Caenorhabditis elegans: one gene and its partners. The protein of the gene in region 2 purifies or fractionates together with the protein of the main gene of each other region. This does not show direct contact. Each region holds a gene or a part of one and is shown on either strand. Other genes may lie near its edges. The genes, in order: srh-56, tag-297, F53F4.15 and acs-11.

Evidence for each region.
Region 1: the proteins of tag-297 (region 2) and srh-56 fractionate together in Caenorhabditis elegans (co-fractionation; one large-scale study listed by BioGRID). This does not show direct contact.
Region 3: the proteins of tag-297 (region 2) and F53F4.15 fractionate together in Caenorhabditis elegans (co-fractionation; one large-scale study listed by BioGRID). This does not show direct contact.
Region 4: the proteins of tag-297 (region 2) and acs-11 fractionate together in Caenorhabditis elegans (co-fractionation; one large-scale study listed by BioGRID). This does not show direct contact.

Annotation. Positions count from the first base shown.
Region 1 is NC_003283.11:2,768,948-2,774,850, reverse strand, and holds srh-56 (Serpentine Receptor, class H), read right to left. Parts: upstream 2,992-5,903; coding exon 2,646-2,991; intron 2,585-2,645; coding exon 2,394-2,584; intron 2,071-2,393; coding exon 1,840-2,070; intron 1,662-1,839; coding exon 1,583-1,661; intron 1,520-1,582; coding exon 1,332-1,519; downstream 1-1,331. Other genes in the region: srj-18 (Serpentine Receptor, class J), read right to left, coding at 216-275, 321-509; dhs-15 (DeHydrogenases, Short chain), read left to right, coding at 5,098-5,134, 5,403-5,635, 5,680-5,780, 5,827-5,903.
Region 2 is NC_003280.10:14,624,389-14,631,444, reverse strand, and holds tag-297 (ShKT domain-containing protein), read right to left. Parts: upstream 3,816-7,056; coding exon 3,663-3,815; intron 3,509-3,662; coding exon 3,333-3,508; intron 3,288-3,332; coding exon 3,176-3,287; intron 3,120-3,175; coding exon 3,018-3,119; intron 2,721-3,017; coding exon 1,446-2,720; 3' UTR 1,324-1,445; downstream 1-1,323. Other genes in the region: mltn-10 (MLt-TeN (mlt-10) related), read right to left, coding at 5,003-5,595, 6,187-6,388, 6,435-6,536, 6,584-6,793, 6,836-6,950.
Region 3 is NC_003283.11:13,617,240-13,622,121, reverse strand, and holds F53F4.15 (Neuropeptide-Like Protein), read right to left. Parts: upstream 1,147-4,882; 5' UTR 1,116-1,146; coding exon 968-1,115; intron 922-967; coding exon 716-921; 3' UTR 646-715; downstream 1-645. Other genes in the region: F53F4.16 (uncharacterized protein), read left to right, coding at 302-436, 481-540; srd-11 (G-protein coupled receptors family 1 profile domain-containing protein), read left to right, coding at 2,436-2,546, 2,781-2,947, 2,997-3,150, 3,195-3,467, 3,921-4,111, 4,154-4,271.
Region 4 is NC_003280.10:4,739,677-4,747,045, forward strand, and holds acs-11 (fatty Acid CoA Synthetase family), read left to right. Parts: upstream 1-2,460; 5' UTR 2,461-2,462; coding exon 2,463-2,573; intron 2,574-2,627; coding exon 2,628-2,726; intron 2,727-2,782; coding exon 2,783-3,034; intron 3,035-3,514; coding exon 3,515-4,468; intron 4,469-5,360; coding exon 5,361-5,462; 3' UTR 5,463-5,604; downstream 5,605-7,369. Other genes in the region: Serine carboxypeptidase ctsa-1.1, read left to right, coding at 1-36; eas-1 (putative Golgi transport protein 1), read left to right, coding at 771-801, 849-940, 986-1,088, 1,137-1,212, 1,365-1,446, 1,494-1,535.

The DNA of each region.
Region 1 (5,903 bases), on a different chromosome or scaffold from region 2:
GTGCTTCAAAAAGATTAATCACACAATACAAATTTTTTTTGGAAATGTTTGTTTTTTGTTGAAAAAAACTGTAACCTTTTTCAACAAAACCGGTCGAAATGTTTTAGTTTTTTTTTTAATTACTTGTTGTAGATTTTAATTATTCGGATAACAATTTATGTAAATATAATATTGTTTGAACTCGCAATTTGAATCTCTATCATTCAAGATATTACCTCTGAAAAAACACTATCTACAATGAAGAATACAGCCGCATAACGATAGCTATAAACACACTGAAAAAATTGAAAAGTTTGGATTTAAAAAATTGAAAAACTTACGGCTGGTATCAAAATATCCACAACTGATGCAGTAAGATTAAAAATTGCAAAAAAGTATAAAAGATAGCGATAATCACCGAATTGAATCACTTTTTCCGTACGTATCAGATATACGAATACAGGATTGGCTATGAAAGACAAGATAAACGTTATTTTGGGAATGATAAAGTGAGCCCAGTTGATAAACATGGAGTGCGTAGAATATTCACCGAAAGCAGCTTATATGTCAAATGACAAAATTTTGGTTCTGAGAAGAATGTGTTGATACGTGCCTAACAAAAGAGAATGTACCTAACATTAATCTCATTATACATACTAGGTTGTCTCATTTTTTGGCAAGTTTTCACAGACACCTTATTAGTTCCCACGATGACATGATGTAACAAGGACATAGCTCAAGCACGGAAAATTTCCAGTGAAGCGTGAGTAAGTAGCAGGTCAGTGAAATCTCTAGAAACTTTTCACACGCTTCGATACTTGAAAATTTTTTTTTTCGATTTTTGACAATTTTTCGAAATTGTTGAAATTACTGAAATCGGCAATGTTACCTGAATTGCCATAATTTTCAAAAATGCCGAAAATTTTCAAAAATCTTAAATTGCCAAGACTGCCCAAAATGTTAAAAAACTTCCGAAATTGCCAAAATTCATGATACTGCTGAAATTGGTGAAAGTTCTAAGTTTGTCCAAATTGCCCAAATATTTTAAAACTGCCAAAAAGTTTGAATTTGCGAACATTGAAAAAAATTGTCAGAAATCCTAGAGTTATCGAAATTACCAAAATTGACAACTTTGCCGATATGGATAAATTGTCAAAATTGCTGAAATTCGTGAAATTGCCAAAATTTTTCAAAATTGATGAATATGCCAAAATTGCCAAAATGGCTCTCACTAGCAAGATGCGCATCTGTTTCCCGAGTGAAAATAGTCAAGTTTTGTCCAAAAAAAACATATTTACTAAATATTTGTAAAAAAATCTTGCTTGGCAAATAAAACGAAAATTTAAAAAAAACTAATTAGACACACTTCCATGTGGAGACGTCACAGGTTCCACGATGATAGTCATTCTCCGTTGTGAAAATCGTTGTCCAGGGATCAGACTTTTAGTGAAATCTCTGTATGGTTTGTAAATAAAAAGGGTGCAACAGGTGCATAGAAGTCCGTGATTTGCCATAATTAGCATAGCGTTGTTGTTGTAGGCTGCAAAAGTTTGGAACGTGTTAGCCATGTTTTGGCTTTTTTAAATAATTTGCACTTTCTCACCTTGATTATAGTAATTCATTTTGTCTGCATACATAGTGTAGGCCACAGGAAATGCAATGGCAATCCATGGAATTGAGATCTAAAAAAACACATGCTAGAATTAAATGTTTAAAATTTTAAAAATTTTGTGGTTTTTCAATTTGTCAAAAACATTTTTAAATTTTTAAAATTGAAACAAACCCATTTAAATTTTTTTTGCATTTTTTTGCAGTTTCATTTGGCTATTCCAGTTAATTTTCAGTTATAGTTATACTCACCTGAATAGAAACATTCTTCAGAAACTTTCGCTGAAGATTCTTCGTCGCCGCCGATATTTTGGCACTTGATACTAGTGTGAGGTGATAAACGGTGTGTAACAAAAAGAAAAAAGTTTGGAAAATAACAAATCCAAAACCAATTGTGATTGACCAGAATGGCAAGACCTCTCCGCCCTGCAGCAGTACATAGGTTTTTGGGTCCCAGAATTCGCTCGTCGGACAGGGGATTCTCTGTAAAATTAAGTTGAATTTGAAGACGGGTGTTAAATACACACGACCGAAAAATATAATAAACACTTCAAAAGTTTTTAGTTATTCAAAAATTGACATTTTTGAAAAAAATTGAAAATTCCCGCAGATCTGAACTCCTAGAATGTTTCAATATTATTAATAAGAACGCAATTAATTCAAAAAAAATCTTTTGGTCGACTTCCAAAATTAGGATATGTGAAAACTGAGAGTTTTCACATTTTTGACTTTAAATATAAAATTTTATAAAATTTTTTGAACATTTCTAATATCTCTGAATGGGCATTTTAGTACATTTTACTAACCTCCAAGACCTTCTGTCTCATTTTCAATTGGTCAGTGTCGTCTAGATAAAATGGAAGCATAACAACAAATGTGAATAAATAGTTTAATGCGAAATATGTTAAACGAGTTTTTCTCCGTTTGATTTTGAATCGAATCGTGGAAATTTGACTATGTTGATTTTCATAGAGCATTATAAAACAGACACCCATCACTGAAAAACATGTGGTATTTGAAATTTATATTTAAATTTCCTAAAAGATCCTAAAACTTACTAGTGACGGAAACCTGTCCCCAATACGACTGCCACTTGACACCTACTCCCAAATATCCTAGAAGCCCAAGGGGTACTCCGGAGGCACTCGGAAAAAATATATACGGCCCCGAGTACACTGTGAACATCAAATCGAGATTTGTGCTCCAAGCCAGGGATATTAAAAGTGGGATTTTCATATTTTTCATCCGCTTTGGCGTCTTTGTTATAACTGTGTAAAATGTGAATATGGATAGAGGAACTGTTAAAAGTGCTGTGAAATGATATGCATTGCGCAGATAGTCTGCCGAGCCAAAATAGGAGTAGGTTTCCCGGCAGTTTGAGGTGTTGTTGTCTGGCCATGCCATTGGTTTCCTGGAAGATGTTTAATATAATAGGTTTCGATAGGAATTCCGAAAGTGTTCACAAGCTAAGCGTTACAAGAAAAATTCCTTAAAAAGCCAGAAAACCAGAGCCTAAAAGTTCAAAGCCCCATTTGCATGTAAAATGATCCGCGCGGTAGAGTTGGACGCGCCGAAAAATTCTTGATCGTTGATGTAATACCACCGTAATCCTGCTAATTTGATAATTTGAGGTGCGGAGTTTTCAATTTTTTTTTCTCGGAAATTTATTTTTCTAGGAGGCTCTGACTTGGAGTTTCGATGTAATGCTAAATGCTGTGTTAGTGATTAGGGACATTTAAAAAGGGAAATGTGTTTTGTGACAGATCAAATGATCATCTAGGTTGGCGATGCAAAACAATACGGCAAAAAAGTGTAAAAAACTGATGTCTTGCAGCGGACATTTCCCGGGTTAATTGGAAAGTAAATGGGACCCCACATCTTTCCTGATTTTTTGTCCGGAATAGAGGCTTTACCAGAAAAATCTTTACAATTAGTTCTTCAATTTTTACAGAAACCTTTTTATTTCAACATTTCAGAATCCTAGGTTCAACAGCTGGAAATTTATCAATTGGACAAAAACTTGGTTTTAATTCTATTCAAACAAGGGCCTATTCAAAAAAATTGAGCTTCTTATCCACCTAAAAGTAACGTTTGATCCAAATTATCGGGCTAAGAAAGGACTAAGAGTAGTCGGTGCTGAAGATGAAGTCAAAATTGAAAATCAAAGGTTTGGGGTACATGTCAAAAAAAACAATTGTAGGAATTGCTAGAAGAAACTCAGCGGATTCAGTTCGAATAGTTGTTTGAAAAAAGTAGATCCTCATAATTTGTTCGACTTCTAATTTGACCAGAAATCTACTACACCGCAGTAGAAATCAGGTATCCTGCTGTGTTTTGTCTGTGGCTTCTTAGCTGCCGAAGCGAGAAAAATGCAAACAAACTTCGAAAATGTCATAAATTTATGCTATTTTTGCAAACTTAGTGACGACCTAACAAATCTAGAAAAATTGAACTTTCTACCAAATCTAAGTAGATTTTTTTGGAAACCAATAGATTTAGTTATATTCCAAAAAACTACATACTTATGAAACTCAGAAGTAAAAGCTTTCAAAATGTGACTGAACTCGCCAAAAAGTTCAATAAAATGAGCCGCGCGGTAGTTGTTTCACGCCGATAAACATTTGATCGTTGATGTAATACATTTCCACAAACCTGCTAATTTGATCAATCGGGGTACACAAGTTTCCCAATTTCCTTATTTCTCAGAAATCGTTTCTCCAGAAGGTCGTGTTCAAGTACTTTTCTGACTTGAATTTTTGATTTATGGTTAATTGTAAATGTTTCGTGACCAGGAATCTTTCAGAGAAAAACTTCTTCTTCATCAAATTACATAATTAAATGTTATTTGAATATTTAAACAATCTGATACTTATTTTAAAAGTATGGTAAATTTTTGTAAAGTTTTTGAAAACCTCAGGGGTCCTGAAGCTGTTGTGTGGTCGATTTTTCAATTTTTGAGGTATCAGAATTTAATTATAGGTACGAAGTTTTTTTTTAAGAAAACCACTGTCTGGATAAAAAATTATTTTTCTGCAGTGTTCCTACATTTTTTGTACGAAAGTTTTCTGGCGCCAAAATGAAAGAATTTACATTTTTTAGATTTACCTTCCATTTGGTGTTTGCGAGTCATAAATCGAATTCCACTAAAATAACATTTGCACACAATTTAGCACAAAACTTTATAGCCGCTAATTAAATCTTGCAACTCATAGTTTGAGTCCAAAAATCTGCGAGGACATTGAGCCTTAGATATTTTAGTTTAACCGAAAAAAAAACTCAAAAACTAGCATTTGTCTACATGGTCAAAGTTCATCTCTCACAAAACCGAAAAAAAGTTTAATCTGTATTAATTTGTTTATCGAGAGATACCCTAATCGGCACGCGACCTCACAGTCTGGCGATCCTCCCATTTTCAACACTTGAACGAACAAATTACATTGCGGGCGTGCGCGGCAGTATATAAATTTTTGAGATTCACTTTTAGTGACCAAAATCTAGTACTTGTCAAAAATGGGTAGATTCTCTGATAAAGTTGCAATAATTACAGGTAAGGGTTTTTTTTAGAAAATGTAGTGAAATTTTTCATCCAGTACCTTCAGTCATTTTGTAAAATAGTCTGTTCAATTGGGGGAACATATTTGTTTGGAATTTATTAAGTTTAACTAGAGTAGCGTTGAAATACTGTAATGGTACTTTAGGGTTACTGTAGGATTACTGTAGGATTACTGTAGTTGAGTTAAGCTTTTGAAAATCTCTTTTTTTTATGTTTTGGCAGACCAATTTGGAGATAAAGTCTCTCAAAGTATAACGTTCAGGCTCATCTTCCGGAATTGGTCGCTCCACGGCAGTCCTCCTTGCTCAGGAGGGAGCTAAGGTTACGGTAACCGGAAGAAGCTCGGAAAAAATCCAGGAAACTGTGAATGAGATTCATAAAAACGGTGGCTCCAGTGACAACATCAACATTGTTCTCGGCGACTTGAATGAGAGCGAATGTCAAGATGAGCTCATCAAGAGCACTTTGAGCAGATTTGGTAAAATCGATATTTTGGTGAGATTTCTCGACTTTTTAAAATTTTTGACTGTTCCATTCAGATTAACAATGCTGGAGCGGCGTTTGCTGACCCATCTGGAAAAATTGGCTCCGAGGCGGCGATTGGCATTTTTGATGATATGATGAAGTTGAACTTGAGAAGGTATATTTTATTTACAGGGGATTTTTTTAATTGTAACTTATTTTAGTGTTGTGGAGCTTGTCAAAAAGTGTCGTCCGCACTTAATCGCTAGCAAAGGGGAAATCGTTAATGTTTCTTCAATTG
Region 2 (7,056 bases):
TTTAGAGCAATTCATATCTTTCTACCGGAAATTCCTAATGATGTGGAGACCAAAGGATGGGGATACGGACTTTTTGAAGGTTAATTTGTTGAGTAAAACGATGGAAAATCTCACGGCACGGATTTCCATGAATCTTCAAATCGGAACCAATATAACTGCACCCTTGCATGAGTGGAATTTCAAGTTGACTGGGAGATTTGTAATTTGAGCTTTGTAACCTTACCTGTAATTTTTCAAAAGTATGTTTAGGACGTGGAAAACGAAAAACTGTTTATCACTAACTTGGAGTGGTTCTGTCCAGTGACCGTTGATCTCATGGATCTTTCACTTATTGCGATTCGCGAAGTTGTTGCAGAGAAGCTTGACGAAGTTGCAGCGGACTATACACCAACGTTCACATTCTTCTCATCCGTGGATTTTTTGAATCGGTTCACCAAAAATCTGAATAACTTGAAAACCGAAAGTTGTCTGAACGGATCCATGGTGTCCATGGATCATTTCCGTGAGTAAACAGAAATTGAAAATATTGATTTGTTTTTCTACGTTTCAGACGATCTCGAAGTAGTTTTGGATCATCAACAAATTCCTATAACATCAGTGTTCATGTAAGTTTTTCTTCCAAGAATATCATCTTAAGTTGAACTTTACAGTCTTACCGTGTTCAATATGAGGACATTGTACTTCCTGCTGAAGCGAAAACTCACTTTATGATGCAAACACACGCGGGAGGAGATTTTATGGATCCCGTATTCCATACAATGGTAGGCAAACGGGACTACGAGCACAAATGGTTCTTCAATCTTGAATGGGTTAGTTGCACTGTTCTACCGTTCGTATACCCATGAATATTTTCAGGATAACTTTGACCAGTTTTATTACGTGCAAAGCTTGAAGGTTGAGGCCCATCGGTAGTCTTCCCAAATGGTCTGTACACTAAATGGTTTACAGGATATTGAACTTTTTGATTCGAGATAAATTATTTTGTGTTCAGTCTTTTAAAATTGTTCAAATTATTTCTGAAACCGCAGTGTCAGGGTTCTGTCTTTGAAATTTTTGAGGGTTCAGGCTTAGGCTTTGGCTTAGGCTCAGGCATAGGCGTAGGCGTAGGCTCAAGCATAGGCGTATGCATAGACGAAGGAGTAGACGTAGGCTCTGGCTTAGGCTCTGTCTTAGGCTAGGCCAACTAAAACTAAAATATGGCCAAAAATGAAAATTAGAATTGAAAATTGATTGTATCGGTGTGTTCAAAACAACATTTGTTAAAGTGGAGGGGGCAATGAGAATAATCACCCGATCTCGTAGTTCCAAACAGGATGTGAATATAGAGATCAGAAAATTTATTGTAATAAAGAAATAAAAAATATATACAAACAATCAAATTTAAATTAAGTCGAAAGACAATCAACATTGGTAGAAAATAATAAATATGAATTAGGTATCTTAAATCAACCTCTGACCGTATTCAAAAAGCCTCCGAGACCGGATAAAAAGTTTCCGCCGCCGGAAGTTCTTTTGTAATCGGCAGCTTCTTTTTGGAATCTATCTTCTTGAAGTTTTTCAAAAGCTCCACACTTCTTATCCTTCAAAATATTTGGAATTGAGTTTGCAGTAGTGGCTGCCTCAAAGAGCAAGTTGGTCTTGACCTTAGCTCCCTCAATGTCATAATCGACAACAGCGTGCTGGCAAGCAAGTAGACGATCTGGATCTCTCTTCGAGACCCAGTATTCCAAGAGTTCGGAGTTGGTTGGGGTGTAGGATCCCTGGTCAAGTGAGTTGGCAGCAAGCCATTCTCCAATGATGGCAAATTTGAAAGCTTTTCCCAGAAGCGGGTTGTCGATTTGGGCGAAGAATTCCTTCTCGAGCTCCGGTCTAGTTTGCCCACGCTCGTAGAACTTCATCCAGACATCTACTGCTCCTTGCTTCTGCCAATAGTCTTTCTGCCAAACAGATTTAGAAAATGCGGTGCACATTGTGAAGTTTGGATCCTCTGGTGGTGGGCACAGCTTGACAGTTAATCGGTATGTACGTTCGCCGGTGGCTCTGCAGAGATTTCCCTCGGTGTTCTCCAAAAGTTTCAGCTTTCGAGATTCCTTGCACCAATCACAGTAGAAGCATTCACGACCGCAGGTGGCAACATCCATGCATCGGAGCTTTCCGATTGGTTGGATGGAGACATCAAGCTTCATGGCGAGCCTATTAATATGAACTCCTGGTGGAAGAGTGACATCAATTCCCATATCAAAGCAATCTGGCCATGTGAGGTGAACAGTTCCGTCCCCTTCTCGTTGAGATGGATGGCTGAATGTTGGGTTGGCTAGCTTAATTGGCTGAGTGCATTCTTGACCGGTCAGCTCCTTACAGCATGGTGCTGACCTGACATCCTTCAACTTTGCGATGAAAAGATTTTTGGAAATAACTGCTTCATAGGATTTCGGCCCGGTTTGCTTGACGGATCCGGTTCCAATTGGCACATCCTTATCATTGTAGACTACAGTGTTTCCATTCTTATCGGCAACAACCTTTCCAACAGAATGTCCCTTGGCGTCATAACACTGGGATACTCCTGGTGTCTCTGCTGTGCAATGATATTTGTTGTTTCTTCTGCCGAAAAGCGATTGCTCAAGATCGGTACCGACGAGGTTGTCAGCTGAGAGAGTAGCATCGGTTTTCTTGCCGGTTTGGGAGATTGTGTAGGCATATTTTCCGTTCTTGTTCTTTTCCTGGAAAATGTTGAAAGTTAAATATTTGTCCTCATTTGTTAGTTAAAAATTTTTTTTATAAAAGGTATGCGGCATTTTTTCCAAAAAAACTTTAGATTTTGGCAAGATCGACAACTCCCGAATTTCTTTGGAAGCCGATGCCATAATAAAGTTTCGGGAAAGAAATAATGAATAAATAGATATAAAATAATCATTTGGACCCGCAAGAGTCCGGTGATTTTGTTGTTCCTAAATTTTTACAGTGAATATTTTTAATCTGGTAAGTTTAAAGATTAAATGTGAAATTTCATAACTCACTCTATCCAAAAACGACAAAGTTCCATCTCCGGTGTTATTATTATGAGCGTGTGGGTTCAGCTTGAAATTGAGCCTTTCGTTGTTGGCTTCAAATTCGGTTTTCTGAAAATATCAAAATCCCATTTTGTTCGTTTTTTTTCCTTCAAAAGTACTCTTACCGATGGATCTCCTTTAAGATCTCCCTTTGCGACAGTATCAAGCTCGTACTTTCCATCAGCTTTGAGCAATGCGTGCTCACCTTCGCCGTCGGTTTTTGTGCGGAGTTGAGCTCTGAATTTAAGATTTCGCCTAATAATTTAATTTCCGACCACTCACTTGTGCCCGTCAACTGTAGCGATTCCTCCCTTATCTCCAATCTTCTGCACTTGAGCCCTCTTCCCGTCGAAAGTTTCGGCGGCAGCGACATTTCCGGAAGAAGAGGCGCTGAATTTCTGCTGGGTGTTTAATAGATCCAGAACAACCTTTTCCTTGTTAGATGCGTCGAGAGATACCTGAAACTTTTTTTTTTTAATTGTTAAGCATTTTTATTTCCGTTTAATTGAAAAGATAACTATGCGAGTTTTTTCGAAGATGCATCTAGATTTAGATAAAAATCGGAGTACAACTTTTGAAAATTTTCATATTTGAAAAATTCATTTCACTAACCCTCTGAACTTCTTTCTGCTTCTTGTCCAACCACGATGAGTCGACCTCAATGTGCTTCCTCTTCTCATTCAGACTAACATGATTTGGCACCAGGCTCTGCGCACTCACAGCTACAGTTAATGAGACTAGGCAAAGGAGAACTCTTCTCCGCATCTGAAAATTTCAGTTTAAAAAATTTAAAGTATTTAGGAAAATGAGAAATTTTGCGATTTGGTATCCGATATTTTCCTCATACTCGAAAACACTTCAAAAACACATCATTTTATCATAGCAACTCTTCTCGACAAAATTTCAGAAAATTTTATGGCGGCTCAAAATTTGGAAAATCTTAACTCTGCTCGTATTTTTAATATGGCTACCTATGCATTCAAATTTTACGTAGTATAATATGATTATGATCAAAACATTCATTTCTGACGACTTTCAAATTGGCCCCAAGTTGGCAATTGGCAATTGAATTTTACAACTTTTTTTGAATTTTTCGAATTTTTTTTTGAATTTTTAGAGCAACATAAATACAAATATAGTAAAAAATTAAGATGAACAAGAACTATCGCTGATGATTTTGGATCAATAGGGATAAAAAGAGAACGGATAGGGAGATAAAAGATAATCAAAGTGGAGAGGATGTAGGGCAACTACTATGTCTATTTAACATTCATCGAACGACGAGGACGACGGTTGAGACAAGCGAAAGCCTAATGAGATGTATGGGGACAGCTGAAGGAAAGTGAAGTGATGTTGGTGGTGATGCGCAAGTTTAAGATCGGCGTCATCGATATAATTTCGTTTTGAGAAAAAGAAGCAAATGCGGCTGGTGGTAAATGATGATCCTGTTTTTCAGCTTTTTGGTGAATCTCCATTTGCCTTTTTATATTTCTACACCGGCTTGTTTCCTCTTCTTAGCCAATTTGTATGTGTTCAGTTTAAAGTGATACTTTGCCGATGAGTCAGTTAGATTAAATTACAAAGAGAAAGTTTTTTTAGTGTAGACGACTTCAGCGACAGGTGTCTTAAAACTCACGTCAGTTGATATTCCAAAAGTTCAGATATTTTATTGGTAAAGTAGACACACTTCGGAGAAGTTTGGTTTTGTTGTGTAGGAGGCAATTTTTTAAATCAATTTTTAATATTTTGGATGGCTATAAGTTCCATGTCAAAATTCATAACTGCTTTGAAAGTCTGACAAAAAATAGTTCAAAAATTTTAATTTTTCTTCTTCATGTTTTACCCACAACTTGTTTAAATATAATAGATTGCAAGGTAATTTTAATCTCTCATTTGAAACATCACAAATAAACTCTTATTATGTACATATTTTCTGTTATATGTAGTATGTGTCATGAAAGTACTGTGGGGGATAAAACTGTGGCCATAATATACGATTTTGAGAAAACTGCAGGAGAAAAGCTGTTGGGCGAGAGTATGACGCCACCTAGAACCATTGGAGAAAATACATCCGGGCACAGGAACAGTGGTGAAAGAACTAACGGGCTTAGCACATATGGATTGAAAATGTTTGGAGACAACACATATGGATTCAGGATAAATGGAGCCATAACTAATGGGGAGAAGATGTATGGGGATAGTAGATATGGTGAGAGAATAAATGGTAATGGTACTGCCGGAGAAAATATCCATGGAGATAATACCGAAGGGTTGAGAATCAGTGGAGAAAATATGTTGGGGGAGAAGATGACGGGACCTAATACAGATAATCCGTAAACCGGAGAAAACATGTACGGAGTGAAGACAGTCGGATTCAGTGAAGTGTATACAGTTACGTCGCCAACTCTTATGGTTCTACCACGTTTCACTCTTCTCACGGGATACGCGATGTTTTCGATGGACTTCCAGAGGGAGAGCATTCTTTCAGATTTGGTGTAGTTACGGTAGCTTTGCATTTCAGGTTTTTGCAGAGTTGAGTCAGCGCCTGGAATGAATAAAATTTAGATTTTTAAACTAAAGTTTCTATTCAATCACCCTTACTTGTTCAGCAAAGGTTAAGATTTTGATTGTTAGGCAAGGTTAAGATTTTGATTATTTAAGATTGTGTCATTAATTTTTAAATTACGTTAAAAACTTGATAGTAGGCGCGTAATTATAAGGTTGATACATTGACAGAAAGGTAGTTAGCCGCAAAGTAAACACAAAAGTCAGCCAAGTAGGCAAGCAGGCAGATAGAAGGTAGATTCGTACATAAGCTAGTGGGTAGGCATGATAAAGACACCTAGCTCAGCCACGTGGACAGGCAAATAAAAGGTAGTCAAGTAGAAAAGCTAGTAGGCATGGGGTAGACCCAAAAAAATGCAGATACGAGGTTAGGCAAGCATAGAGTAAGTATACGGTAGACACAATCGCAGACTCGAGATAAGTCTCTTTTATATTTCTCTATTCCATAAACATTGAAATTCTGACTCGGTATTTTTGCGTGCAAAATCGTACCTACTTGGGAAGTTGACGGAAAAGGAGAAAAATTTGTTAAGTCAAAAAAATTATGGTAATTATTTTATTTGGTTCTTACCGTAGTTCCCGAAAAGATTCTCCATTTGCGGCATTTCCAAAAACGAGAATCCGCTTTCTTTGAGCTCAGTTTTCTGATTTTTGCTCAGTGACTTTTCAAGATTCTCAAAATTCTGACTCATGTTATCAGTTGCTGATAAAACGGCCTCCTTCTCTTGCTGATTTGAAAATGATTGCTTCTCAGGATTGAGAAGCTTTATCATCTGAAAATTAGAAAATTTCAAAAAAAATTTCGCGGCAACTATGTACTTTCATGGCCTCATCCAAAATTGGTCGGGTTCTGGAAATTTCCATGAAAAACGCTAGGAGTCGGTCTTTTTCGGATTTTTCGAAAGATGACTTCTCGATGAGCTGAAACTATTATTTACGGAACCTCAGAATTAAAAAAAACTGATTACATCTGGAATTGGAAAAAACTGTTCCTCCACATCATCTTTATAAAACGGAAAGATTGATGGAGACAATAATCCTTTTGAGTTGCTGGGCATCAGAGGAGCAATTCTTGGGCTTAGAATTCGAGCTGAAATTCCTGTCTTTTGATTTCCAGCCATACTTGAGACCAGTTTCAGACCATCCTGTATTAACGGATGATTTACTTGACCGGCCATCTGTAATCAGAATAAAACTTGGGATGTTACCTAGTAGATTACCTCAAAAGGATTTTCAGCATGAACGTCGTCGTCGTCTTCTAGAACGAGATCATACGCACGGTGCTTGATAGTTCGATAAGTGGATGATCGACTTTTTTCCAAGTTTTTGTTCATTCTGAAAACGTATTTCAATCTAAACAGTATAGGATTTCGAACTTTCCACAATCACAAAAATTAATGAAAACGGGTGAATCAAAATCTAATTAAAAGTAGAAATCTCT
Region 3 (4,882 bases), on a different chromosome or scaffold from region 2:
AAATATTCATCGTTGAATTCAAGTTGTTTTTCGTTTTTATTTCTTTGGTTTTTATCCATTCATAATTATGCTTTCAAAGTTTCGAGAAGAAATTAAAAAATCTCATTAATTTCGAACTTAAAAAAACGTCAACGAAACATGAATAAAACTACATAGAAATTCACTTTTTTGTTGAAAAATTATCAATTTTACCAATTTTTGTGATTTTCGGTGATTTTCTAAATTTTGAAAAATTGAGTTGAATCTTTCATTCTACCCATAAAAGAACTAATTTTTCTTGACTTCATGACTTTTATTCCAGATGAGTTTACCCTGGTATCACCTGGAACGGCCTGCTCGAATGACCTTGCTACGAGCTTATTATACTGTATGTGCACTCACATATCCTACATATGTGGCGATCAACTACAAAAGTTATATTCCAGACAGAGCACAGGTAAAATTAAATCTAATTAGTTGCAGTTAATGAAATATATTTAGGTTCTTGGCGGAAAATCACTTCGTGACGAGATTCTACATCCGGCAATCGTCAAAAACTAGATCTATCGATGTGCAATTCCTCATCATTCTCCGAATTTTTGTCAAATACGAGTATTTTTCCGCCATTATCATTGGTTTTGAGTTTTCCCCCATAGGCCCTTTTCGTTTTTTTCTTTTAGTTTTTAGTCGTTGTTTGTTATCATTTTAAATTTATTCATTCATTAAAATTATTTAATTATGGATTGATGAAATAGTTAGAATAACGATACAATCCCCAGACTGGCTTGTTGGGATTGTAGCCATAATTAGGATAATATGGAATATTATCATCATAGACAGTTGGAAGATTTTGTTGAAGAAATAGACGATCATAGAATCCTGTCCGAGCAAATGCAGACGGAGCTCCACGAAGATTTGCTTCACGATCTTCCCGTTCTTCTACTTCAAAAAGTAATATTAAATTCTACAACTTCTCCGTGAAACCTACAAATCTCGGCAGCAGTTTTATCATGTTCACATGGCCAGACTTTACGAAAATTGACTCTTTCCGGAAGGCACATTCGACCAGGTGGCATTTCAATAGAATAACCAATCAGGAGAGTGAAGCAAAGAATAGAGAGATGAAGAGAAAACATTATTGATAATCATACAATGGGAAAGAGAAATATGGAAAAGACGATTAGGTGAAAAACTTCAAGAAAACACGATTTTTTGGTGATATCTCAGTGATCTCGACAGATTGAAAAATATGGGCGAACTGGATTCGCAATGCATTTTTGTATGTAATAAAGTTAATTGAAAATTAACTTTAAAAATATAAATAGTTCAGATTTATCAGGTTTTCCAAATAACAACATAATTTTTGAATAACGATGCATTAGGTTGTAGGTTGGATTTAACTTCTACCGTTTCACTTCCAATTTCTCAGCGTAAAAGCCAATCGTTATTTACCTCTGAAAGAGAACAAGAATGAATTCTTAAAACTTGCCTATATTTTTCTCATAAAATTTTGTAATTCGTGGACATCGCCTTAACCAAATGTATTATTACGAGATCACTACTTTCTGAGAATGCGTGTTGTGCAACATATCTGACGCGCAATATATCTCGTAGCGAAAACTACAGAAAATATTTAAATTACTACTGTAGCGCGAAATATTTTGCGCAATACGCATTCTAGACATCTAAAGATAAGAATTTTCGCCACATCTTAAATACTTATGCGCACGGTCTCGCCACGCTGACAACGAGTTACTGTAATAATGCATTATAATTTTCGTTTCAAATGAAACATTGCTTCTAAAATTTTTAAATAAAAACATGATCAGTCATAAATCAGCACGAGTTACAGTAGTCAGTAGTCAGCGTGGCGAGACCCAAGCGCGTAAGATATGGCAAAAATTATCATCTTCAGACATCTATGTAATAGATTTAATATGATTAAGGCGTCGCTATTTTGATGATCTGTAAATTTTTTTTGACAATTGTCTAGAACATCAAGTTAACTTAATGTTCTAGACTATTGATATAATACGAAACGACACAGATATATCCCAGACTATGAGTAATTCAAACAGTACATATATTCTCAGGTACGCCAGACGCTTTCTACTGAATGAAGCAATTAACAGCTCTGAGAGCCATCACGAGGAAGCATAAATAGAGATATCTTACGTGCACATGATGTGTTTTCCTTCCTTTTTCGAAAAGTCGAGTGAATAGATATGATAATTGTTTACTTTTTTACGGATTACGGAAAATCTAGTTCCCAAAAAATTATTTATTTTGCAAAATTCTTAGCATTCCTTAGAACAATATAATCATTCTGTAACCATAATCTTCACAGTCATCGTTCCAGTGAAGCCTTAAAATAAAGATTTTCTTTCTATTGAAAAATTTATATTTAAGAGAGAGCTTTTACCATTTTTTTTTTCACTTTCAGAAAAACTTGAAAAATGCTGGACTCTATCACATTATTCTTCCTTTCTTTCCATACGTTTGCCGGAGTTTCTGGCTGCATTCTCAATTCAATTGTGCTCTTTTTGGCACTTTTTCGGACTCCGAAGGTTAGTTTTTCGTGAAAAATCTTTGAACTAATCATAAAATATAGATTAAAATCAAAATTTGAGAGCTTTAGTTCCCAGTTTGGTAAAAACTGTGCAAATCTCGTAATATAGGCTCAGCTTTCTACAGAACTCTGCCATTATAACTAGGTGTGGGATAGCTGGAAATGTTCTGCAGAAATTCCTCATCACATAGACAAGCAATTTCAACCTTCAAACATCAGTTTCCATTTCCAGACAATCGCCGCTTACACCACAATTCTCATAAACTTTGCATTGACCGATTTCCTCGCCTGTTTCACAGATCTTTTCATTCAAATGCGGCATATTCCGGCTGGATTTACAATGGCTTATTTGTCACGTGGACTGTGCACTTATTTTGGACCCCATGTCTGCTATTTTATGTACACCATAATACATATTCCCCGACACGCTTCATTTTCTTAATTTCAGATACAGCATAAACATTTCATTAGTAGCTCATGGTCTATGGTCATTGCTAATGGGGTTCTCATATCGATATTATATCCTGTTTCATCCGGCACCAACGAGAAAAGCTTTGATAGTAATTCTTATGTTTATATCAATTCCGTCAATTATCCAAATGGTAATAATGTGAAACAATTTAGATTTCAAGCTGATACTTTTAAGATAACATTTCTGTGGGCAGACGATGACGCAGATGAAATGAAGCGAATTGTCGTCGAACGATTTCCGGAATATCAACTTCAAAACGAAACTATTTGCGGAACAATTAATATTATTGAGTTTTCTGCAATGTTCACAATTCTACATATGACGTGCCCAATAACACCAGTCTACATAACTATTTGGATATTAAGAAAAAAGATTATTGAGAACCTTACTTCTAATTCAAAGGATATGTCATCAAAAACTAAAGAAATGCATAAGCAGCTATTGAAGGTATGGGCGTTCGGGTAATAACAAAACGATTACGGTTGATGCATGATGCTTTCTTTTATGGTTGGGGTGGAATGAGCAATGTATCATAAAACATGACAACATTCGCATCCAAGTTAGACTAAAAGAACTTTGCTTAGCAGCTGGTTAGATTTGGACAAAATTTGAGTAGAAGTATGGTGAGTAGAAGTAATAAACTTGGCAAAAAAGTTTGAACCTATGTTCTAGGTTCCTAGGATCGCCCGTAGTCCGCCTTCGTCAGTGAGCTAATTATTAAAAAACCTTACTTTTAGTTCAAAAAATTACCAGATATCATGTAGGATTTCGGTGGCAACTTATTTTTGTTGCACTTATCAAGTTGCCTCCGAGACGATTGAAATTTTTCAAACAATTGATTTCTGCATTAAAAACGTGACGAAATGCTTACGAATTACTTCAAACGCCAAAACCTTTCAGGCTCTCACATGGCAAGCCATGATCCCTGGCTTTTACGGAATGAGCATTGTATCTTACGTCATTGGGCAATTCTTTTTCAATCACCCCGTATTTGAATATCTCACGCTCACAGGATTCCTTTTTATGCCTGTTCTTTCTCCACTCTCTTGCCTGATATTTATTCAAATTTACCAGAAACGAGTTCTATCATGGTGAGCTTGAAACAATTATTAAAAAATAATTCCTATTTTCAGGTGGTACAAAATGATTGGAAATCCAATTCCAGATGAGTGGCTTACAGTGTTGAATGCGACTAGAACCAATGCAACATCAAGTGTCGCTCCTTCAAATGAAATCAAATCTAAACATTGAAATTGAACTAATCGATCTTTTATTTTATCAGCACGTTTTTTGTACCTACTAACCACCCCTTATCAACTTATATAATCCCAATAATATTCTCCACTTTGCAGTCACTTTTCTGTCATTTTATTTTAAAATGAAAACTAAGAGTTTAGTATTCATATTTCTCCCATTCTTGTTTCAATTCTCTATTGCCGGACCACGAATCAATTGTTATCCTGAACCATCTGCAAGTCAAGTTCTCTGTGAAGCACGTGGGTGTATCTGGAATCCAATTGATAATATCGATGGATCACCATCATGCTTTTTCAAAGATGGTGTCGGATATAACATTGATTCTCAAAACGGTTCTACATATAATCTTCAAAAGAACAATGGTCCCAAAAATCCATGGGGCGACGATTTTCAAAACATTCAACTGAAAACAAATATGGTTGGAAGTGTTTTAAATGTGAAAATTGGAATAGATGGAAGATATGAACCGCCCATTGATTTTTCCAGAGCAACACTTCCCTCTTCAGAGACTCTTTCATTTATTACTGAATCATCAGATGATCTCTTCTGTTTTTCTGTAATTCGAAATAGTACAAACCGGAAAATCTTTGATACTTCAATTGGTG
Region 4 (7,369 bases), 9.9 Mb from region 2:
GCCGTTCAACAGTTCCTGAATAATCATCCACTTTAAATTTGGAGAACAAATAATATTTTTATCTTCTTATTTATTTTTCAATCTATTGGTCAATTTTCCAAGTTTTGAATAATGAAATTTGATTTTTAAATTTTGTGATTTTCGAATACACTGAAATATTTTTCAGAAAGCTTCCAAATAACTGTAATCGGTTTACTCATATGACGTTTGGATTAAAATTTCAAGTAATTTCGATTAATAAAACTGATGTTCTACTTATTAATACGTTGTACCTTTGGAAATAGTCAATAAATAATTGGAAAGTCTTGTTTGTTCGAAAAAATATCGATTTGAAATCTCAAAAATGCCTTTTGTGGCACTTCCAACCAACATAGTTACTTTTTGTCCAATTTCTCAATAAAAATCGTATTAATTGAGCGAAAATACTACGAATTCAAAAGTTTACCATTCAAATTTAAATTTTCCTTTTTCCCGCCGATTTTCGCTACTTCGGCCATGTGCGAGTTTCTAGGCCACGCGGAAATGCACGGCGGCCACGTGGTCCGCAATTTTACGTACACGTCATTTCCGCGGAATTTCCAGTTTTATTTTCCGATTTTTCGCTTAAATTTTTCAATTCGAGATAAAATCAGTTTCATTTGCTAAAAAGAAACGCAAATTTATTTCAAAAAATCAATAATCTTCTTCTATTTGTTTTTCTATGACCGATTCTTTTGAGAATTTAATTTTTTTCAGCCGTTTAAAAGAGAAACCACTTGGGTCCAGTCAAAATGATGAATTTCGAAGTAAGCACAACAAAACGTAAGTTTGAAAATCAGAAAATATATGTAAACTGTGAAACATTTCAGAAATCGGAGTGGGGTTAACGACGTTCGGCTTCTTTTTCATATTTCTCGGAGTGCTGATGTTCCTTGATTCTGCTCTTTTAGCTATCGGAAATGTAAGTATTTATTGTAAATTTAAAGCATAAAATTATTATTTTCAGCTTCTATTCATTGTTGGAATCACATTTATTATCGGCGTGCAGCGAACACTTGTTTTCTTCTTCGAATTCCGAAAACTGAAAGGAAGCATTCTCTTCTTCGGAGGTTCGATCACAAGGAATTCATTATTTTAATTTAAAAATTTATTTTCAGGGATTTTGGTAGTTCTATTTGGGTACCCATTGTTCGGAATGATTGCCGAGTGTTGGGGATTTATTGTCCTTTTCGGGTGAGTTTTTGACTAAAAAATGTTGAGTTTTCTAAATATTTGCAATAGAATCAATATCTTGAATTTTCTGCTCTTTTTCTTCGATTTGTAACAAACATTTTGAACTAATCGCTCACGAAATTAAATTTAATCTAATAATAATGAATTTACAGTGGTTTCCTGCCTGGAATTGTCAATTTGCTCAGAAGTATCCCCGGAATCTCAACAATCACATATCTTCCTGGAATCCGACAGGTCAGTTCTAACGAATCAGGATTTTTATCAATTATTTCAAGTTTTAGGTCCTCGATCGCCTTGCTCCAGAATCCAAGTACCCCGTCTGAAAAGTTCAGGATCTTCCCAAAAATCTCACCAAAAATGGGTTCTATTTTCTTTTTTGTTGAAAATATTTTCTCCTGTGTTGTCCCTTCTCCTCTCATATCACGTTCGGTTCAACTACGATTTCGGCCAAAATGCACATTTTCTGTGTAATATTATTCAATTTTAATTTATTTATTATTAAAAATTTTAAATTTTATCTCATTTCTAAAATATCCCTCAGCCTTTGTTGTATAATACGCTTTCATTTTCTTCTGTTCCTAGGTGAAAAATGTGATTATAATTATTTATTAGATTCCCTTTTTTCCTTTTCTTGTGTTCTGACTCGATATCCATTACATGACTCATTTCGATCAAAAAAAATGATGTTCTATGCTTGTTCTTCAGATCAAACAAATCACGTTTTCACCACCAAAGAACTCATTTCGACGAAGGTTTCTTCTCCCTTCAACCTCTTATCTTTGTTGCCATTTTTAAGAATGACAAATCGAGAATACGAGACGCAGGGCCAACAACATCTCGTTATAAGAAACGGTCAACCCGATCAATTCACGATTTTAATTCAGTTTTCTACAGCTTCCTGTTTTCAAGCACTGCAGATTTGAAACAAAAACCTTGTTTTAAACTTAGAATCTACCTGAAAAGTCCGATAAAAACTGAAAAAGTTCTTACTCGTAGAAAAAATTATTTTTAAAAGAAAAAAAATGCAGAAATTGATGAAATAAGGTTAAAAACCAAATCAAGCATTTTTGAACATCATTTTGAAATAAAAAATTGAAAATTTACGGTATTGTGCATATTTTGTGCAATTAGAATGCGAAAACTTTGAAAAAAAACTTCCAAAGTTGAATTTTAAATAGAAGTTGCCTAATTTTCTTGAATTTTTCATTTTAAAGCATTGTTTCTATTACAGAAAATTAGATATTTCAGAAATGCTCAGTCGTCTAGTCAGCTCCGTCCATCCACAAATTGGGCTCCGTGCCGCTTCTTCTGCAGCCAACAATATTGTCAGTCAAGCTCAGCTTCAATCCGATCCTTCGAAGGTTGCTATTCAATATCCTTCTGAACGTTTTTTCCATAATTTTATAATTTTCCAGCTCCTCTTTATCGATGGCGATCGCAAAACGACTTATGGAGAATTTGTTAAACGAACTGGGCAATATGCAACTGCTCTGACTGAAAAGTACAATATAAAGGTCATTTTATCTTTAAAATTGTATAAATTCAACTTTTCAAATTCAAATTTTCTCAGAAAGGAGACCGTGTGATGGCTAGAGTATCAAAAACGACCGATACAGCTGCTCTCTACATTGCTTGTCTTCAAATCGGAGCACTCTATATTCCAGTCAATCCAGGATATACTGAATCTGAAGCTGCTCACTATATCAAGGATGCGACACCTTCGATTCTAGTCTCGTGCAATGAAGAATTGGATAAAGTTTTCAGAGATAAGATCAGGGTTATCAACGAGGATAAGTTGGCATCTGAAGCAGGAAGCTTGAATGTAAGCTGGAAAATATGAAAAATTTAATAATTTTCAAAAAAAAATTCAAAATTGAAAAAACCACAAATTCCTTGTGATGCTAATCAAGAAATATAGAAAAAAATATTAATTTTACTTTACAAATTCGTGAAAACTTGAGCCTCCAGTTTAAAGGGACACGATCTTCTTCTGCTTGGGTCTCGTCACGATCTCAGCCACCGTGCAGTATCTATTCTGAACGTTTTTAGAAAAAAAAATTAAAAACCAAAATTTTGACAAGAATATTAGGAAAATAGGAAAAGTGTTTGGAGTACAAAAGTGACTACTTTTTTTTGGATTTTTCGGTATCGAAATACCGATCAAACCAAAAAACGCCGTGATCGTGCCGAGACCCACCCGGAAAATATCGTGTGCCTTTAAACTGACATGTCAAAATTAAGTCAAAAGAAAACACAATATACATACTATCCATGCCCAATATTCAAATGCAACATTTTCCAGGCATGCACCATGATCGAACATGTCGAAAAATCGGATCCCGCATCAGTTTGCTACACTTCAGGAACCACCGGACTACCAAAAGGAGCAATCTTAACTCATGGATCATTGTCTAACAACGCACATGATATTGTCCGAGACTGGGGATTTACTGGAAATGATTATAATCTACATGCACTTCCATTCTATCATGTACATGGACTCTATTATTCCCTTCATTGCTCTTTATTCTCACATTCAACAATGATTTGGCGGTCGAAATTTGAAGTTGAAGATTGTATAAAATACATGAAAAATGCGACGGTTATGATGGGAGTACCAACATTCTTTTCAAGACTTTTGGCATCAAAGAATTTCAATAAAGAAGCATTCGGAAATGTTCGAGTATTCATTTCTGGATCTGCACCTCTATCAGTATCTACAATTGAAGAATTCAGGGAAAGAACTGGACAAGTGATTCTTGAAAGATATGGTATGACAGAAGCTGGAGTTATGACTACTAATCCATTGAATGGAGAGAGAAAAGCTGGAACTGTTGGCCCGGCTGTACAAGGAGTTGGATGTAGAATTGCAAAAAATGGAGGAATTGAAGTGAAGACAAATGCGATTTTCGCTGGATATTGGAAGAATCCAAAGAAGACAGCTGAAGAATTCACTGAAGATGGATGGTTTAAAACTGGAGATGTTGGACATCTTGATGAGGATGGTTATTTGACGATTGGTGGAAGATCAAAGGATATGGTTATTACTGGAGGATTAAATGTATATCCAAAAGAACTTGAAGATTTCATTGATACACTTCCATTTGTTAAAGAATCTGCAGTTATTGCATCTCCACATCCAGATTTTGGAGAAGCAGTTGTTGCAATTGTAGTCCCGTCGGAGAAGGTGACTGATGAGAAGGAGTTTGAGAAGAAGCTTATTGGAATTATGAAGAAGAAGGTTGCCAATTATAAGGCAAGTTTTTTTATTTAAAAAATAATCCGAAATTTCAAGATTTTTGCGCTAAAAATACGGTACCCGGACACGACAAATTTAAATGAAAAAGAGTGTGCGCCTTTAGAGTACTGTAATCTTGAAATTTCGTTGCATCGAATTTTTCATCGATTTTTTTTCATATTATGTCAAAATCTGTGCGTTTTTTTCAGTTCTATAATGAACGCATATTTTTATTCAAAAAATTATAGAAAATGGGTGAAAATTTCGCAGAAACAAAAATTTTAAGCTACAGTACTCTTCAAAGGCGCACACCTTTTTGTATTTGACAAAAAAAATTTCGCGTTTGGCTAATATTTTCTGCCATTTTTATTTTTTTGTTGTGAAACTAATCAATAAATGCAGAAAAACTTTAAAAAAATTGAATTCGTCTTGCTGTTTTCAATTTTCTTTTTCATTTTTTTTCTGTGTGCGCCAAGATTACTGTAATCTCAAATTTTCGTTAACGATGATTACTTACTTATTCAGTAAGTAATTTATTAATTAGAAGCACTAAAATAAAATTATGAAAAATCCCGCAGAAACTAAAGTTTTACGTTACAGTACTCTTTAAAGGCGCACAACTTTTTGCATTTAACAAAAATGTGTCATGTCGAGACCGGGTACCGTACTTTTGCGTCAAAAATCTCATAATAATCCCCTTAAAACTTTTTTTTTGAGTTTTCAAATTTCCATCGGACACCGCAATTCTCGTTCAGATATTTGTAATTTTTCAAGTTATAACAACCTGTTTTCAATCAACTTCTATAAAAAAAACATGTGATTTTTATAAATGTTTGATAACATACCTATTCTGCAAATAGGATACAAATATTAAAATCAAATTATCAAAGCTCAATGTCTAACATTTCAGGTTCCAAAGCGAGTGATTGTACTGGATGATTTGCCACGAAATCACATCACTAAGGTCCAGAAAAACGTTCTCCGTGACACCTACAAGAACCTCTTCGCCTAATTCCATTCCCAGTCAACAATACATCCCCAAAATATAGATATCATTTTTCTATTTTCAAATTGTAAATATTTCATAAGTATTGTAGAATCTTTTGTACAATTTTTCAACTTTTAACAGTAGAAAATAACAGTTGTTTATAGATATTTTTTGTTTCTATTGTTCTCCACACACTTTTAGGACGACGTTGTCCTCCTGACCCCGTAATCAGTCAGACTATTCTTAAGATGAGAGACATTTGATTATCAGATTAACATCAATGATATTATATATCTTGGCAACATCTTACGCGGTCAGTGTGTACCCGTTTTGGACATGTTGGAATCACGTGAAGCCCGTGAGAACTTTGGCTATAAAGAGAAGTGAAAAGACAAAAAGGAAGATAAAAAACGAAAGAGTATAGTGATTTATGACACAGATTTGCCCATGGTTTTTGCGAAACTCTTTGCCGAAACTCGATGTGTGATGTGCTAAATACTGTACTTCGAAATGCTTGTCAGCTTCCTTATGGTCTCACCACGAATTTTTTTGAATTGAAACTGCGGTGTGAGCCTTTAAAAAGTACAGTAACCACTTAGCCATTATTCCGCTTTTTTTGCAAATACATGCAAAATAAATCAATACCCAAGGAAGTCACAAAATTACGAGAGGTAGGTTACTGTACAACTTAAAGGCGCTTTCGAGAAGACCCAATTCGAAATGTTTTCATCGTGGCAGCAGCGGGTATCTTAATTTTGCAGAATTCTGAGATATCCTGTTAAAGGCGCACGGATTTATTCCGAGGCCCACCTGAACGAATCCGTGCGCATTTAAGTAGATATGTCTAGGTCCTACGAATATACAATAGCGTATTTCATGATTTTTACACGTCCAACATAAGCCTAAACCTAAAGAAAAGTAAGGAAATGTACCATTTTGCAAATTTTTCTATAAATTATAAATTTACTTTTAAGGCTCCCACTGCGGGCAAGTACGTCTTCAGGCGTGTCTACCTGTTCACATGCCTACTAGGTAGGCCCCGGGCAGGCGTCGTTCGCCTTGGAGGCTGGCAAAAATTGTCCTGAAAATAAACTTACAAATCTGGAATTGTTTAAAAAAACCATCCATAAGTTCCTCGAAGTAGTTCCCCATGCACCTAGTTTGAACCTGCTGGGATCAAAAATTCCGCTGTAAAATATCCAAACGGGAGCGTGAATGAATCATATACAATTCGTCAAACATCTCTCGGTCCAAAAAAGAAATACAAAGAAAGATCTATAACACTTGTTATTTCCCCCGAACAGTGGTTAGTCGCCACCACCCACGCGTAGGAATTTCTTCGAATTTGATAAGAGAGCTATTGAAAAAGAAAAAGGCGACTTTCAACTTTCAAAAATCAGAAAAATGTGACTTCGCCTTCAAAGTGATCATTTCAGAAGTATTTTCAATTGTAGAGAGTGTACATAAAATGGAGAGACATCATGGAGACCTGAAAGTTTTATAAATGGGAGGACGATGGACGGAGTGGTCGGACCTGGACGACGACACTAGCCATTGTTTTCTTCGTTTTAGTTTTTTTTTTCTGATAGCTGATAACTATTTTTTCTTTTTGTTCATATTTTTGAATGGGTCTTGCAGCGAAAAAAGTCCTTCGCTTATTTGAAATTTATTTTTGTTCTTGCTACTTTATCTTAACATTCCGAAGTGGGTGCACAAATGTATTCTACTTTCCCGACATTTGGGCAAAAATACGGTTCCCGGTCTCGACACGACAAAAAATGTAAAAATAAATATATTCTTATCGGGAATCTATCAAAAATTGATTAGTCTTCCAAAAAGCAAAATTACAGTACTCTTTATAGGCGCAAACCTCTTCGCAATAAAACAATTTGTCGTGGCGAGACCCGGTAATATAATTACATAATAAATTT